Astyanax mexicanus: one gene and its partner. The protein of the gene in region 2 interacts with the protein of the main gene of each other region in a pairwise test. Links are inferred from orthologs where the notes say so. Each region holds a gene or a part of one and is shown on either strand. Other genes may lie near its edges.

Region 1 (7,403 bases), on a different chromosome or scaffold from region 2:
AATGTTGTCTGTAAAGACCACTAAGACACCACTTAAAAATGATGAGTTTCTTTGATTTTACCAAATTGAAAACCTCTGGAATATAATCAAGAGGAAGATGGATGATCACAAGCCATCAAACCTGCTTGAAAGTTATCCAAAAGCAGTGTGTAAGACTGGTGGAGGAGAACATGCCAAGATACATGAAAACTGTGATTAGAAACCAGGGTTATTCCACCACATATTGATTTCTGAACTCTTAAAACTTTATGAACATGAACTTGTTTTCTTTGCATTATTTGAGGTCTGAAAGCTCTGCATCTTTTTTTTTTTTGTTATTTTAGCCATTTCTCATTTTCTGCATACAAATACTCTAAAGATTTTTTTTTTATTTAGGATTTGGGAGAAATGTTGTCTGTACTTTATAGAATAAAACAACAATGTTCATTTTACTCAAACATTTACCTATAAATAGTAAAATATGAAAAACTGACCAGTATTATACCTTTGAGGGTACAATTCAGAAAAGTGTACCTTTAAATACAAGAAAGTACTTATATCATACCTCTGTTTTTTAGTGTGCATGTGTGACAGTGCTGACATATTTTCTTGTCTTTTTGGCTTTCAGTTCACCACACACACACTCACATACCGCCATTTAATCCCTTCATGACTCAACATCTGGGCGCTCCTGGTCTAACAGGAAAGTAATCTAAACTGAAAGTAACAAGCATCTCTAAGTAACTGTTTACCAAATTACCAGTTGACAGATCAAAGCAATGCATGAAAATAGCTGCTGGATTGACTGTGTTACTGTATGCAAGGTGAAATTCTCTCTTTCCTGTCTCTCCTTTTGAGCAGGCGTTCTGTGCTTGCCCTCTGGTGTGCTATCAAGGAACTGACACTTCTGCTTTCCAAAGACCTGCCAGAGGCCATTTTGAACACAACATGAATAGCAGAACTGCAAAACAATTGTGTGTGCTTTACCACATACTTAAAGCTTTGAAATGGTGGCAGCGTTTGATCGCTGAATACAATCAACCACTCAAACCATGCAGCCCGCATGACTCTGACAGCCTGTATAAGCTGGGACTATATATATAAATATATATATATATATATATATATATATATATATATATATATATATATATATATATATAGAGAGAGAGAGAGAGAGAGAGAGAGAGAGAGAGAGAGAGAGAATGTGGCAGTATTAACTAGATCCATGTATTTACATAAATTAGCATTGGGTCCATCATAAGTAGGATAATTTGAATTTTTCAACGAGTTTGTTTGTCTTGTTTTTGAAGACTAACCTACAGCTGACTATAATATATATATACTATAATATATTATATACGAAACTGAACATAGTACTATATGTTAAATACACTACACACTGTACTGTACTATAAGCAAAGTGTATTTTATAGATAGTGTGCTATGTTCACGGCTACTTCTTACTGCCATAATTAGGAGTAGTTTTAATTGGCTTGTTAGATGAATTCCCTCAATTGGGCTAATAATACTAATACTAATAAAAAATTGTGCTACTGGTAAATTTCTCTGACTTTACAGACAACATTCCTTCCAAATTCCAAATAATAATATTGTAATTTAGTGCATTCATTTGCAGAAAATGAAAAATGGCTGAAATAACCAAAAAGATGCAGAACTTTCAGACCATAAGTACTGCAAATAAAACAAGTTCATTCATAAAGTTTTAAGAGTTCAGAAATCAATATTTGTTGAAATAACCCTGGTTATTAATCTCAGTTTTCATGCATCTTGACATGTTGTTTTTGGAAAAAACTGAAAAACAGGTACAGTATAAATTCCGGACTGTAATGTTTTTTGTGCGATAAACAATATTATTGTCATTTTTAGGAGAATTTACACCTTTTTAAAGACAACATATCTGTATCTAATCATAGTTTGGAAAAAATATTTTTTTTCGCACCTGTAGTCACAGTTATTGAAGCATTGTTCAGTTATTGAAGCATGCCAGTCTAAAATACTGTTCACTGTTACAGTTTATATGTAAAAAAAAACATACAATTAAACAGGATATGCAATATCACAATTATCAAATATTATTGAGGAACAGTAAGTCAAAAATATAACGATCACAACTGGCCTAGTCATGCATGTCAATGTCAAGTGAAAGTATCAGTTAGCCTTAATGTGCTTTTAATATTAAAATACATTTTTATCTATTTTAATATTATTACCTTTAAATAATATTAAAGTAAATAACTATATTTAGGCATATCGAGTATTTGTATTTAATGTATTCAAGAGTATAGCTAATTTGTGTTATTATCTAGGTAAAATGTAACTGTTGGCCAATATAGACTGTGCTAGTTAGCTTGCTAGCTAAGTTTATTAGCTACTACTTTCACTTTTAATGGGTCTGTGAGAGGAACTCACACTTTTGTGCTAAATTACTACTAGCAAACATTTACATATCATTGCTGTCCAATAAAAAACAAGTGCCTTTAAAATAGCAACTTTACACAACAGAAAAAAACTTCTAAACTTTCAATGAAAGTTAATGTAAAAAGAGTTAATTTCAGGTCAATTTGAAGTATTTCTGTTGATCTGTTCATCAAGAAATTTTGGCACAATGTAAAAGACCATTTGTCTGTTAAAATAATTTTTTTAGCTAAAAATCAACAAAAATGTAGATACTTGTTTTTCATTGGACAGCGACTATATGTAGCATAGTAATATGTAATAATTTAATTCTGAGCATCTTTGAAAAGTTTCCCCTCTCTGATTAGTACAGTGCTAACAGCAATTAGCACAGTTAGCTGTTAGCACTGGTTTACTTAAATAGCTACAAATACTTCAGCCTTAAACACTTTTAAACAAATCTACATGTATAACATATTAACTAGTAAGTAGCTAACACATTCATTATAAATGTGTTTTATAAATTTTGGAGAAAAAAAAAAATAACAATGCACTAAGAAACAAACTAGCTAGCTAACCAGTATATTTAGTCTTGATATATTGAAACAGATTGACTGACACAGTTTAACTTAGAAATTAGCACAAAATACTGTCAGTACTAAACATATTTACATATTAACATAGTAGCTAGTATGTAACATGTAACAGCACAGAAACATTAAAGGATTTATTTATTTACAATTACACTTATGTAGCACATTTCACAATTACATTCCACACACACTGTGAGAAGCGGCAGCCAATCACGCACAGCCTACTCTCAACCGGAAACAACCATCCACCTGGAGGACTGCATCAGGCATCTGAGTTGACCCAGATCCATATCTAGGCATACATTCAAACACCAGGTACATTTTTTTAGAGTATCCAATTTTCTGGGCAATTTAGATATTTAATTTACCTCATCTCCCTGTTTTTGTGGACTGTGGGAGGAAACCAGAGTCCCTGGAGACCCAGATAGGGACTTGAACCCAAGATCCCAGGAAATAACAAAGCCACTGTGCTTCCCCTTATTTCAGGGGTTGGCAATAGGTGGCCTACGGGCAAGATGTGCTCGCAATATAAAAAATATATCTGGCCCGTGAGGTTGTTTGAACTATAATGAATGTTAATGAAAAAAATAAATTAAATAAAATGCTTCTCAGGCTAGCTTTTGTTTACAACCCTCCCCTACCTCTCTCTGGCGTGCTCAGTTCCCGCCTGTTCTTGGGCTACTTATGAGGGTGTTTTTTCTCCGGCCGTGTCCCAATTCACTAGCCGGGGCAGCGGTACTGTTTCAGACTGCGACCCTGATGACACGGGTTCGTTCCCGCGTAAGGAGTGGTGTGTTTATTTATTTATTTTTTCCTTTCTTCTTGGGTTTACCTGCTTTGAGATCAACTGTTCTGCTGCAATTGGGTTCAACAACCCTCTGGGCTGGAGAGCTACTAGTTTTTAGCGCTTCACCTCATTACTCACTTAATTTTCCAAAACAGATTTTTTTATGGGATACAAAAATATCTTACTTATTAATATACACTTAATTGCCGACCCCTGATCTATTTAAAGACTTAAATCTACTTGTAATACAATTTCCCTAAGAAAATGAACTAAAGACAGTCCAGCAGGCTCGACTGCAGGTTTATGAAAGTGGGCAGTCCCAATTTTAAGGAGGGGATGTTTTAAGGGGAAGGGTTACACTGGAAAACAAGGGGAAGGGGTACCAATTAGAAATGGGATTGGACCTTTAAAGTGTTGAGTGGACGGAGGGAAGGAGAGAAGGAGAGAAGGAGGGGGGCGGTTGAAAACTTTTCTCTCTCCGGCCAGTAGCCTGTGATACACACACACATACACACACACACACTCTCTCTCTCACACTCACACACACTCACACACACACGCACACACACGAGGTGTTGCGTCAACACAGGCTGTCTGTCGGTCACCGTGGGCTTACAGATGTGTGTGAAGGTGTGCGCGCACACACACTCACACACACACACACACACCCCTCCTCAGCAGCCAGAGCAGCAGCAACCCGCCTTATCTCTCCCTCCCACTCGACTGCTCTGTGTTTTATGTCTGCGTCACAACAAGTCGAGAGAGAGACAGAGAGAGAGAGACAGAGAGAGAGGAAGAGAGAGAGAGATGATGATGATGGTGATGATGGTGATGATGATGGCGTCTCTGTCGGCTCAAGCCTCCCTGACAGGCACGTTTTAACAACAGCGGCGAAGGAGAAGAGGAGGAGCAGAGGAGGAGAAGAGGAGGAGGACAGAGAGAGTGAGAGAGAGAAGAGGAGAGGAGGAGAGAGGGAGATGAGAACATGACGGAGCGGCGTGGCACGAGACAGACGGACTGACGGACAGACTCAACACTGACGACTTGACTGACACACACACACTGATATACACACATACACAAACACACTCATATATACACACACATACAGAGAGAGAGAGAAAGAGAAAAAAGAGAGAGAGAAAAAGAGAGGAGAGCACTCTCTCTCTCTCTCTCTTTCTGCTTCACACACACACTCATACACACACACACACACACACACACTCTCTGAAAGCACATCCACAAGAAGAGGAACAAGAAGAAGAAGAAAAAGAAGCAAAGACAAGCAAAAACAGCTCGAGGTCGGACATATTTTCATGTCAAGCACCGACAGCAGTCTCTGTGACCCCAGCAGAGAAGAGTACCACTTCACAGGTAAAGCCAGCATCCTTCTTTCTTTCCTTCCTTCCTTCCCTCCTTCCTTTCTCTCCTCTTTACAATCTGTTTCTCCATCCCCATCATCATGTGTCTAGAACCGGCAACAAGAGTAGCATCAGCAGCATCAGCACCAGCAGCAGCAGCAAATCCATCCCACCCCCCCACTTCTAACCCCCCCCAACCCCATCAACCACCCCCCCGCCCCCTCAACCCTCTCTCTCCCCACCACCTCCATAACTCATAATTCTTCCTTTTCTTCATCTTCAGCCTTATTCCTCCCAAACACAACATCACGCCACCTTTCCTAATGTGCATTCGTGCATTCGAGCTGCTGTTTGCTGTTGCGTAAGGAAGGAAACCCACAGATCCGGTTGTGGATCCAGTACAACAACAGAAAGCAAGCAGCTCCCTCGGAGCTAAAGCCTCAGTCTCTCATCATTCACAGCCCTGTACATTTACACTGTCGCTATGCACTGAGTGTGAGTTTAACCCTTTAGGTGGGAGAGTGCCCTGCATGCTCCTGAGGCCCTCGGGGCTTTCTCCTGCACTTTAAACTCCACCGGTGGAGTCAATGAGGGTGCAAAAAGCAGGGCATGGTTGAAAAAGTGAGGAAAAGTGCTCTATTGGCTGGACTTTGCAAAAGGAAAAAGTGATCAAGCGCCCACTAAAGCTGCTGAGGTGCCACTTCTCGCAGTTCATTATATGATTATGTATCTTTTAGAAGAGGAATATTTGATTATAGTACATTTATATGTCTCAATTAGTGCCTAACTATGAGTGGACTTCTGCTTTCCTGCTGTTATGCAGTGTCTTCTGTTTCTATGCCACCCCCTTGGGTGCCCATTCCAGCAGAGAAAATGGGATGCGTTGCTTTACGATGTTTCCCTACAGGTAAAACTCAATGAGAAATCACAGTGAAGTGTCCAGTTAGGTGCTTAAGCCGCAAGACAGTGTATTAAATGGGATGCAGTGCCAGAAAGGGTGTCCTAACATGTGTGAGAGTGTTGGAAAGTTTACTAATGAAAGTCTCTTTAATAGAGAATATGTGATGTGATGTTCGTATAGAATAGGTGCCCTCTCATTAGGATCAACAGTGTTTGATTAAAAAAAAAAAATGAATGATGTTTAAAAAAAAAAAAGGTAAACCTGCATTTATTCATTCTATTTAAGTTTTTTATGTTTTAGCCAAACCCCATCTAGAATGTACACATGATGTCAGATGGGACTTAATTCCAGTAGGATTTTGTGTGTGAAATAAAGTGGTAATAAAGTAGGTTTGAGAGCCTAATAATATAATGCTAATATTACTCAAGAATAAGGACTATTTTATCACACAGGGTGTCCCAGCATGTGTGTGAGAGTGTTGGAAAGTTTTCTAATGGAAGTCTCTTTAGTAAAGAATATCATCACTGTCCAATAAAAAACAAGTATCTCCATTGTTGTTGATTTTAAGGCTATTATTTAATTTGAACACAAAAACTTTTTTACACTGTATCAAAATTTCTTGATGAATGGACCAATAAAAAGTCTCTAAAATGAAAAAATAAAAATAAAATAAACTCTTTTTCCATTAACTTCCAATAAAAGTTAAGAAAGGTTTTGTCTCTCTCCTGTAAAGTTGCTAAAGTTGTTTTGGAGATACTGGTTTTTCATTGGACAGCGACGATATGTAATGTGATGTCCCTAAAGAATAGATGCTCTCTTATTAAGATTAACTGTATTTGCTAGAAAATGTATTAATAATGTTTAAAAAACAAGTTTTTTTTATGTTTTAGCCACACCCCCTCTAGAATGTACACATGATGTCAGATGGGACTTAATTCCACTAGGATCTTGTGTGTGAGGAGGTAATAAAGTAGGTTTGAGAGCCTCATAATATAATGTTAATCTTAATCAAGAATAAGGACTACTTTATCACACAGGGTGTCCCAGCGTGTATGTGAAAGTGTTGAAAAGTTTCTTCAGTGAAGAATATTGTCACTGTCCATTAAAAAACAAGTATCTCAGTTACTTTGAAAACAAAAACTGTCTTTTACACTGTATCAAAATTTCTTGACGAATGGACCAATAAAAAGTTTCTAAAATGACTTAAAAGTAAAGAAGGTTTTATCCCTCTACTGTAAAGTTGCTGTTTTGGAGATACTGGTTTTTAATTGGGCAGTGATGATATGTGATGTGATGTCTCTAAAGAAAAGATGCTCTTTTATTATTTTTTTTTTATATATATATAATTTTATTTCAATGTTTCC
Region 2 (8,095 bases):
TTACACTAAAGCCCTGCAGGGACATAATTTTGTTCCACTATTTACAGTCCACAGTTGAAACGAAAACAAAGGCCTCTTTACTTGACTTAACATTCAAAACATCCTACCAGGAAAGGGACAGGCAAGGTCAACGCAATGTGAACTGGTAATGCCACGATCCACAGGCCAACGTGATTTTTAGCAGCTGTCTATCAACAACACCATAGCAACTGCCTAAAATATCAAAGTTACAGCACCCGTCTAACAACCACCTATTAAACCATAGAAACTTCTTAACAACACCAAAACAACCTTCTGGAATACCATAACCACCAGCTAGCAACATCATGAAAACAACCACAAATACCCAAAGCACTAATGTAGCACTTGCATGGAAGTGCAAGCCACGAAAGCTGTGAAACCATTCTGCACTTCCTTCAGGAAAAACACTTCTCACATTTTAATATGCAATTTAATAAATATAATAATAAAGACAGAACTTTCCATTTTCCTAAAAAAAGTTATTTACAGAAGATCATCAGCAAAGCTCTGGATATATTACATAGCATGGTCAAAATAAAAAGAAACAGCAGAAACAGGACACACTAAACAAATATGTTTTTGATTAAAGACTAAATGCTTGCTTTAGTTCCTATTGTGCTTCTTCTGATACATGTGGATTTCCACCACACTGCCACTAAAACAGCACCACTGGAGCTCAACACGCTTGGAGGAGAACTCCAACTGGCAGTTCTGTTACAATCAGTGACGTCAGTAAAGCGTAACTTACGGTAGTAACAGTGGAGGGAGGAAAGAGATGCACGTTTTCTAGCTGGAAATACAGACACTATTCTGAGTTTGTATCAGCTAAGGTTTCTAGTGAAGTGAATTTTGGCAAAATAATTAGTTATGTAGAGGTGGCAGTAACTTAAAAGTAACTTAAGCCTTATCTGTATGGGATTAGTTTCTCAGGGGGATATTTTACACTTCTACTCATTGATAAAACTCCTGCATCTGAAGTGCAATCGAAAAAACAGGAGGACCAGAGAATTTATTGGCTTTCTCTGTCACATGACATCACGTTCAGTAGCTCCTTCATTTCCACTCGCTATTGTGTTTACATGGATCTCCATGGATTTCTGTAACCTACTACAGAAAAAAAAGCTCTACTGACAAGAGCTGCCAGTGCTTAAATATCACGTTTCCTTAATATCTGATGATGATACATACTGGTCATGTTATGAGTAACTACAGAAAATATAATCCCTAATGCTCCTTTAAAAGGGAAGAGGAGGAGAAGGGCGCCGAGTGGTCCAGCTGTCTAAAGTGCTGCCACTATGAGCAGGAGGTCGCAGGTTCGAATCCCAGCTCATGCAGCTTTGCCATCAAGCTGCCGGCGCTCAGAGGGAGCCCAATTGGCCCTGCTCCCTCTGGGTGGGTAGATGGCGCTCTCTCTCTCCAGATGTCAATCCAACAGTGATGTCTGCAGCACAGGGCAGCACAGCACAGGGCGTCTGTGAGCTGACATACTCGAGTTGCTGCGCTTTCCTTCGCGCTGGCTGCTTGGCAATGCTGCATCAGCAGCAGCTCGAAAAGAAGCAGTGGCTGGCTTCACATGTATCGGAGGAAGCATGTGTTAGTCTTCACCCTCCTGGTGTGTTAGGATAGTGATTGGGGGAGTCCTAATGAGTGGGTTGGGTAATTGGCTGTGTAAATTGGGGATAAAATGGGGAAAAAAAATAGAAATAAAATTATAAAAAATAAAAAAGGAGGAGATTTTAGCTTGAACAACATTTTTATGAACACAATATAAAAAGGTGGAGACTTGCATGAAACATTCACCCAAACGTAACTACATTTGCTTTTAGAATTTCGTGGGGGGGATAACCATCACTAGAACATCCTTACACAAAGAAGTGGCTCAATTAGAAGGCTCGGGTGAAGCTACTGTGTCTGGTGCTCTTCAGGCTTTTGGGTTATCTCTAAGGCTAATAATGTCTTCCTTTATAGCCTCACAGCACTCAATGAGTCCACTTCACAGGTGCTTCAAATCTGAAAAGAACAACTTCAACCATATATTGAACAACAGTGGCTTTAAGTTCTGTGTTGCCCCATTATGTTGTTTAAGAGCTAGTCAGCTACGCTCTAAATATGCTCTAAATAACTCTAAATAGACTAAATTTACTGGAAAGTTAGCATAGTTGGCTACTTTATGATGAATGCCCACAGCAGTAGCTACTTCAGCCTGCATTCCCTTTTAAATATGATACAACCATAATAAAAAATACAAAATTGACAGAATATTCTACACAAAAGCAGAGAAAAAGTGTTCTTAAAACTGGGTGTGGCAGACAAAGACTGAAAACTGAGAAACCTGTTCAGAATGCATTCAAAGGTGGACTGGTGAGAGGGCAAGAAAGCTGCAGAACTGCATTAACTGCACAGATGTTTTTTTCAAAGGCCTCAGGGAGCTTTTTGGTCCATGATGATACAACTTACTTCAACAATCAAGAGCAAACCAAACTAGACCTCCAAAATCCTATATAACTATGTTCTAGTCATCTGTAGCTGAGTCTAATTTTTGACAGTTTAAGTAGCATTTAATGTGAGGGTGTTTTACCATTTTATGGATTATAAGAAGAATTTTAACAGTTTTATATGTTACCTCAACCTCTCTGTATTGTTTAAATAAAGATCAGTTGTTCCTTTTCACAGGTTTTTTTACAGGTCAGTATATTCTTTTTGTGTTTAGAATCTATGTGTGCACTAGATTTTGAAACACTTACACTGACTTACACTGATTACCCTGTTTTTTCTGAGCTGAAAAGTTGCTTTTTCTAAACTGGAAACAGATCTACCTAAAACTAGATATTCACAACAGAAACAAGAGAGACAAACCTTCGAAGCAATCCTTTACAAAAGACTACAATTTCATGTCTTCATAAAGAGAACAAATCCCAACTCATCAGACCAGAAAAACTGGATCTGTGACTGATTTGAATGACAAATCGGGCCTCAACAACACATTCTATAGCTTCAAGCATCCCTGCTTCCACCTCAATTTAGGGCATAGCTGGACTGCATAGCTGCAGCCAAGCTGCCCATGCTTATTCCTTTCCACCACCTAGTATGTAGAAATAGATAGAGTGCCAGAGTTTTTAAACACTGTGGACCCAGACGGTGTGCTTTATTAGACACTCCTACATGGCTGCTCCTACTTGTAGATGTAAAGTCAGAGACAAAAGCTGTTGATGCACAGTCTGTGCTCGCTGGAATGCTCACACATGTCTCCATACCTAAACCCTAATGAGCATCTGTGGGGCATCCTTAAAGGAAAGGAAGAGCAATGCAAGGTCATTGTCATGGAGGGTGGAAGAGGATTGTTGCCAGTGGTTTAGATATAAATGTGTCACATCTTCAGCTGTCACATCTGGTGTTGTAGGCGCTCCCTGTCCTTTCACACTTAGCTTCAACTGAGGTTCTCAGTTAGACAACTACAACACCCAGAATGCACCACCCACTGACATCACACACACTGCCGATCACGTGACACCTCACCTGCCCCGGCCAGGAAGTGCTGAATATTGATTATTACCTGCAGTATAAAAGGACTGCTCACACACACATCTGCGCCGCGTATTGCCTTGTTTCCCCCACATTACAAAGTGTTTATTCTGTGATTATTTTCTTGTGTATGACCTTGCCTTTTGTTTTTTCGACCTTGATTTTTGCCTTGCTCACTCTGTGGATTTTCGTGTATTACCTGGACTGTTTATCGTTTCTGTTTCGGATCACCTCTGATACTGCTTGCCTCGTGTATGATCTCTGGACTGTGTATCATTGCTGTTTGTGGATTATCTCTGATACTGCCTGCCCCGTGTATGACCATTGGACTGCCTCACTATCCGGTAATGGTCTTTACCTCCTGGTATCTGTTTACCGGTGTTGTTTACTCTTTGCTACTGTTTTATATAGCCTGTGGGTTTTCAATAAAATCCTTAACTGGTTCCGCGAGTGTCTGTATTCTGTACCACACCATGACATCAGTGTTTTGTAAATATATAACAAAATATTTACAAAAATGTAAAAGGTTTACTTCTTTTTTAGTGAGATACTGTGCGTTTTAATTTATTTATGTTTTTTTTTTTAGTTTTTGTAAATGGATTTTACAGAAGTTTGATTACCGATTTTTTTTAACTATAAGGCGCACTTAAACCCCTTTATTTTTCCCAAAAATCGACAGTGCGCCTTATGTATAAATTCTACCAGTCAGGTTGTAAGGAGCAGAAAAGCCATTCCTCTGAAGTACGGCAGAGGAATTATAAAGGAGTCTCAGTGAAGTTTTTCCAGTACTGAGGCTGAAGCAGTATTAGCTTTAGCTGCTACTACTGAGTATTTTGAACTGCATGTTTATAACGTTAAAACTACGTGGGACGAACTGGCTTACGGGCCCCTGGCTTACTGGAACTGTCGGACAGCATTTACTACCACTAAGCACTGCTAACCACGGCTAGCACTGCTGCTAATCGCACAAAAATATTGGAAATGTAAGCTTAATGTAAATAAACGGAAGTGCTTTACTCACCCAAATAAACCGTTTTCAGGAGAGAAATCTGTGCAGATTAACATCCAGCCTTATGTATAAAATAGACTAGAAAATAAACGTTAATTTCCTTATAATACAGTTCGTAAAACACAGTATTTAATGCATTGAAGTTTTTTCAACACCATTGAACTCAGTCCTCGGAACTCTGTTTAAACTTTATAAAAAGCAACCTAATTTAAGCGTACCCCAAATCAAGCCTAAGAAAGAGTCGGTTTGAAAGTTTGACGCAAATTTAGCTGGGAAAACGCGACCCCCTGGAAGTGTGTCTCAAAACGACCCCCAGGTAAAGAACCCCTGGTGTATAATATTAACAAAGACGGGGTCATAATGTTATGCTTGATTGGTGTAGGTCTTATTATTGCTGGGGCTGCAAACTACAATTCCCACAATGCACCGCCGCAGAGCTCGTGCTGTGCGCCTGATGTGCTTGTGTGTGAGGCTGGGGTTGGTGTTTGGGTGGAGAGCTGCAGCGCTGATTGGTGTGTGTGTGTGTGTGTAGTGTAGTGTAGTGTAGAGAGAGGGAAGTCAGCTGATCGAGCTGCTGCTGCTGGAGCTGCTGGAGGTGCAGAATGGCGAGCTCTCAGCGCTACAGCGGGAAGGTGGCGCTGGTGACCGGGGGGTCGAAGGGTATCGGCAGGGGGATCGTGAAGGTTTTCGGTAGGTACTGGAGAGCAGGTGCAGGAGGAGGAGGAGGAACAGTGTGAACGGAGAGTGTGTATCTGTGTATAAGAGTGTGTGTATGTGTGTGTGTGTGTGTGTGTGTAACGAGGCTCTCCTGCTGTTTACCTTTGCAGTGCAGAATGGGGCTAAAGTTGTGTTCTGCGCCAGAGGAGGTAAATACACCTGTTTATTACACATTTGTACACCTTCTACTTTCTGCCTGCACTCATATTTATATTTTACCTCTTTACCTCTTTCCCTTATTCATTACGTCCTCACTTCCTGTCTATAGAGCTGCACACATTTATCTGAATACTTGTTTATTACTTAATAATATGTACTTAATATACACTTCTGTGTGTTTATTCACATTCTCTCTTCCTTATCTATTCACCTGGTCTACGCCTCTCTTCAGGGTTATGTTGTAAAGGTGTTTATTCTGTACAGAACCCTGTCAATTCAGGAAACCGATTCAGTGTTTAAATAGTTCTATGGTTTTCTAAATACAATAAAAATCTCTAGTTGATTTAAAAAAAAAATGTTTTCTTCGCATCTCTGCATCTTTTTTGTTATTTCAGTCATTTCTCATTTCTGGAAATAAATGCTCTAAATGACTATATTTTTATTTGGAATTTGAGAGAAATTTTGTCCATAGTTTATATAATAAAACAACAACGTTGTCTCTTAACTTTTTCCAGACATCTCTCTCTCTTTCTCTCTCTCTTACTCTCTCTCTCTCTCTCTCTCTCTCTCTCTCTATATATATATATATATATATATATATATATATATATATATATATATATATATATATATATATATAACTCAACATTTTAAGGCAACTTACTGCACTAAATTTTTTTGTTTTGTTGCCAACTCAAACTTTTAAATTTTTTTGAAGAAACACACCACCAGTTGTGCAAACTAGAAAGCTTTAGTTTAGATTTAGTTTACAAATATTAAAATAGGTCTCATCAACTTAAAAACTCACTTTGTGTTTTTAGTTGGCTTCATTTAAGTACTACTAAATGTTTACATTAACACGTTTTACATTAATTAAATTAATACAGTGGGCGCAAAACTATGTTTTTTAATGTACGTTAGGAACTGGAAATTCATGATTATTACATATCTGTATTATTACCAGTCATGTGACCCATTCAGCATATAGTCTATATACACTCAGCAACACAAGGCATAGCAACTTGCTTTTTTAGCCTTTAACACTGAGGACAGGGTTAAACACATATACAAAATACAAAAGCAGGGGGCCTGTGGAGAATATTTACACCCTAATGGTGAGTTAGAGGTGGGGGACATTTGAGGAGCTTAAAATAATTTAAATTTAAATTTATACTGTTCACATCAATATCAGTGTTATCAAATATTGGATTTTTGTCTATAGCATACAGAACTAATGTGCATATTTATTTAATCACTTTATTACTGTGTTATTTTTATTAGTTACCTAGCTTAGTATTAACTTCTCAATAAGCAACCAGAGTATTTTACTTTTGAAAAAAATCTGTTATTTTTCTTTACTGTTGTAAGTTATTATTTTAACTGACTTTGTGAGATTTTAATGATTTTAATGTAAAAAAAATCTGTCCATTAATAATAAAAAAAGAAGAAACAGGAGAAACAGTTGATATAATTCTGTTCAGTTACTGGAAGGGCTTAATTAGTGCATGTTTATTTATTTGTTACTTATTACCTCTTTATTGAAATATCTAAAACCTGCCCTCTCTCATTAGCTGATGCAGGTAAAGCGCTGGAGGCGGAGCTAAATGCAGCAGGTCCAGGCTCCTGTCTCTTCCTGCCCTGTGACATATCCAAGGAAGAAGATATCAAGGTGCACCATCTTAGCCTTTTATGAAACCCATGTCCTCCCCTTATCCTGTCTTCCCTGGCTTCTGTATACTACTGTCTGTTTACCTTCTGTCTCTCTTTTTATTCCTCAGAGACTGATCACTGTGACTGTGGAGAAGTTCGGACAGATAGACTGTTTGGTTAATAATGCTGGCTGGCGTGAGTACTTGACCCCATCCTTCCGTTTAATTTATTTGCTTAGTCAAACTTTGGAGATTCCGCTTTGTTTCACTTCTACAGAAAGCAAAGTTTGACCCAGATCTAACAGTGACGCTCCCTGTCCCTCTCGCTTTCAGATCCCCCCCACAAACCCACGGATGAGACAACCGCAGAGGAGTTTAAAGACCTGCTCAACCTCAACCTGATTAACTACTTCCTCGCATCTAAGGTGAAGCTCCCAAACCAGTCTCCCCTGTCTAACCAGTACTACCAACTTTCTGTCTTGTGATCAATAGGTGTCATGCACTGCATATTTTAGTGCAGAAATCTATATAGTACTGTGAATAATATTTGCCCCCTACAGATTTCTTTAGTTTTTGCTTTTTTATCATATGTACATTTTTCAGATGATCATTTACTAAGGGAAAAAGTCTATAGAAACAACCTCACTAAGACACAAACAGTCTATAATGTTTATAAAAATACACCTAAAAGTAAAGGTAAAGGTAATAAATGAATTTGTATTTGATTACGTGAAATAAGTATTTGATTCCCTACCAACCAGCAAGATTTCTGACCCCAAAAATGCACACTGTCCCAGGTTGCACAAAATTTAGTCCTGTCCCTTTAAGAAAGTACTCTTAATATATCACCTTGTTATGTGTAAAAAAAAGACACCTTTCCATTCAAACCTCTCGACCACCATGTTCAGGACCAAAGTGCTGTAAGGTAAGGATGATTCTGACAAAGCTTCAAAGTAAGCTTGTTAATGATCTCAAGGGAGCTGGGAGCACAGTCACCAAGAAAACCATCAGTAACACA

What was found.
Region 1: the proteins of hsd17b14 (region 2) and phf1 interact in binary tests that used the Homo sapiens proteins (3 or more experiments, as listed by UniProt). The two-hybrid records come from large-scale screens. The link is inferred for Astyanax mexicanus from reciprocal best matches to the Homo sapiens genes HSD17B14 and PHF1.

Annotation. Positions count from the first base shown.
Region 1 is NC_064408.1:114,662,263-114,669,665, forward strand, and holds the start of phf1 (PHD finger protein 1), read left to right. Parts: upstream 1-4,332; 5' UTR 4,333-5,151; intron 5,152-7,403. UniProt on the Homo sapiens protein: Polycomb group (PcG) that specifically binds histone H3 trimethylated at 'Lys-36' (H3K36me3) and recruits the PRC2 complex. Involved in DNA damage response and is recruited at double-strand breaks (DSBs).
Region 2 is NC_064426.1:17,506,198-17,514,292, reverse strand, and holds the start of hsd17b14 (17-beta-hydroxysteroid dehydrogenase 14), read left to right. Parts: upstream 1-5,004; 5' UTR 5,005-5,154; coding exon 5,155-5,242; intron 5,243-5,379; coding exon 5,380-5,418; intron 5,419-6,999; coding exon 7,000-7,097; intron 7,098-7,206; coding exon 7,207-7,273; intron 7,274-7,410; coding exon 7,411-7,502; intron 7,503-8,095. UniProt on the Homo sapiens protein: Catalyzes the NAD(+)-dependent oxidation of L-fucose, yielding L-fucono-1,5-lactone, which rapidly converts spontaneously to L-fucone-1,4-lactone. Can also act on D-arabinose and L-galactose, with lower catalytic efficiency. Does not use NADPH.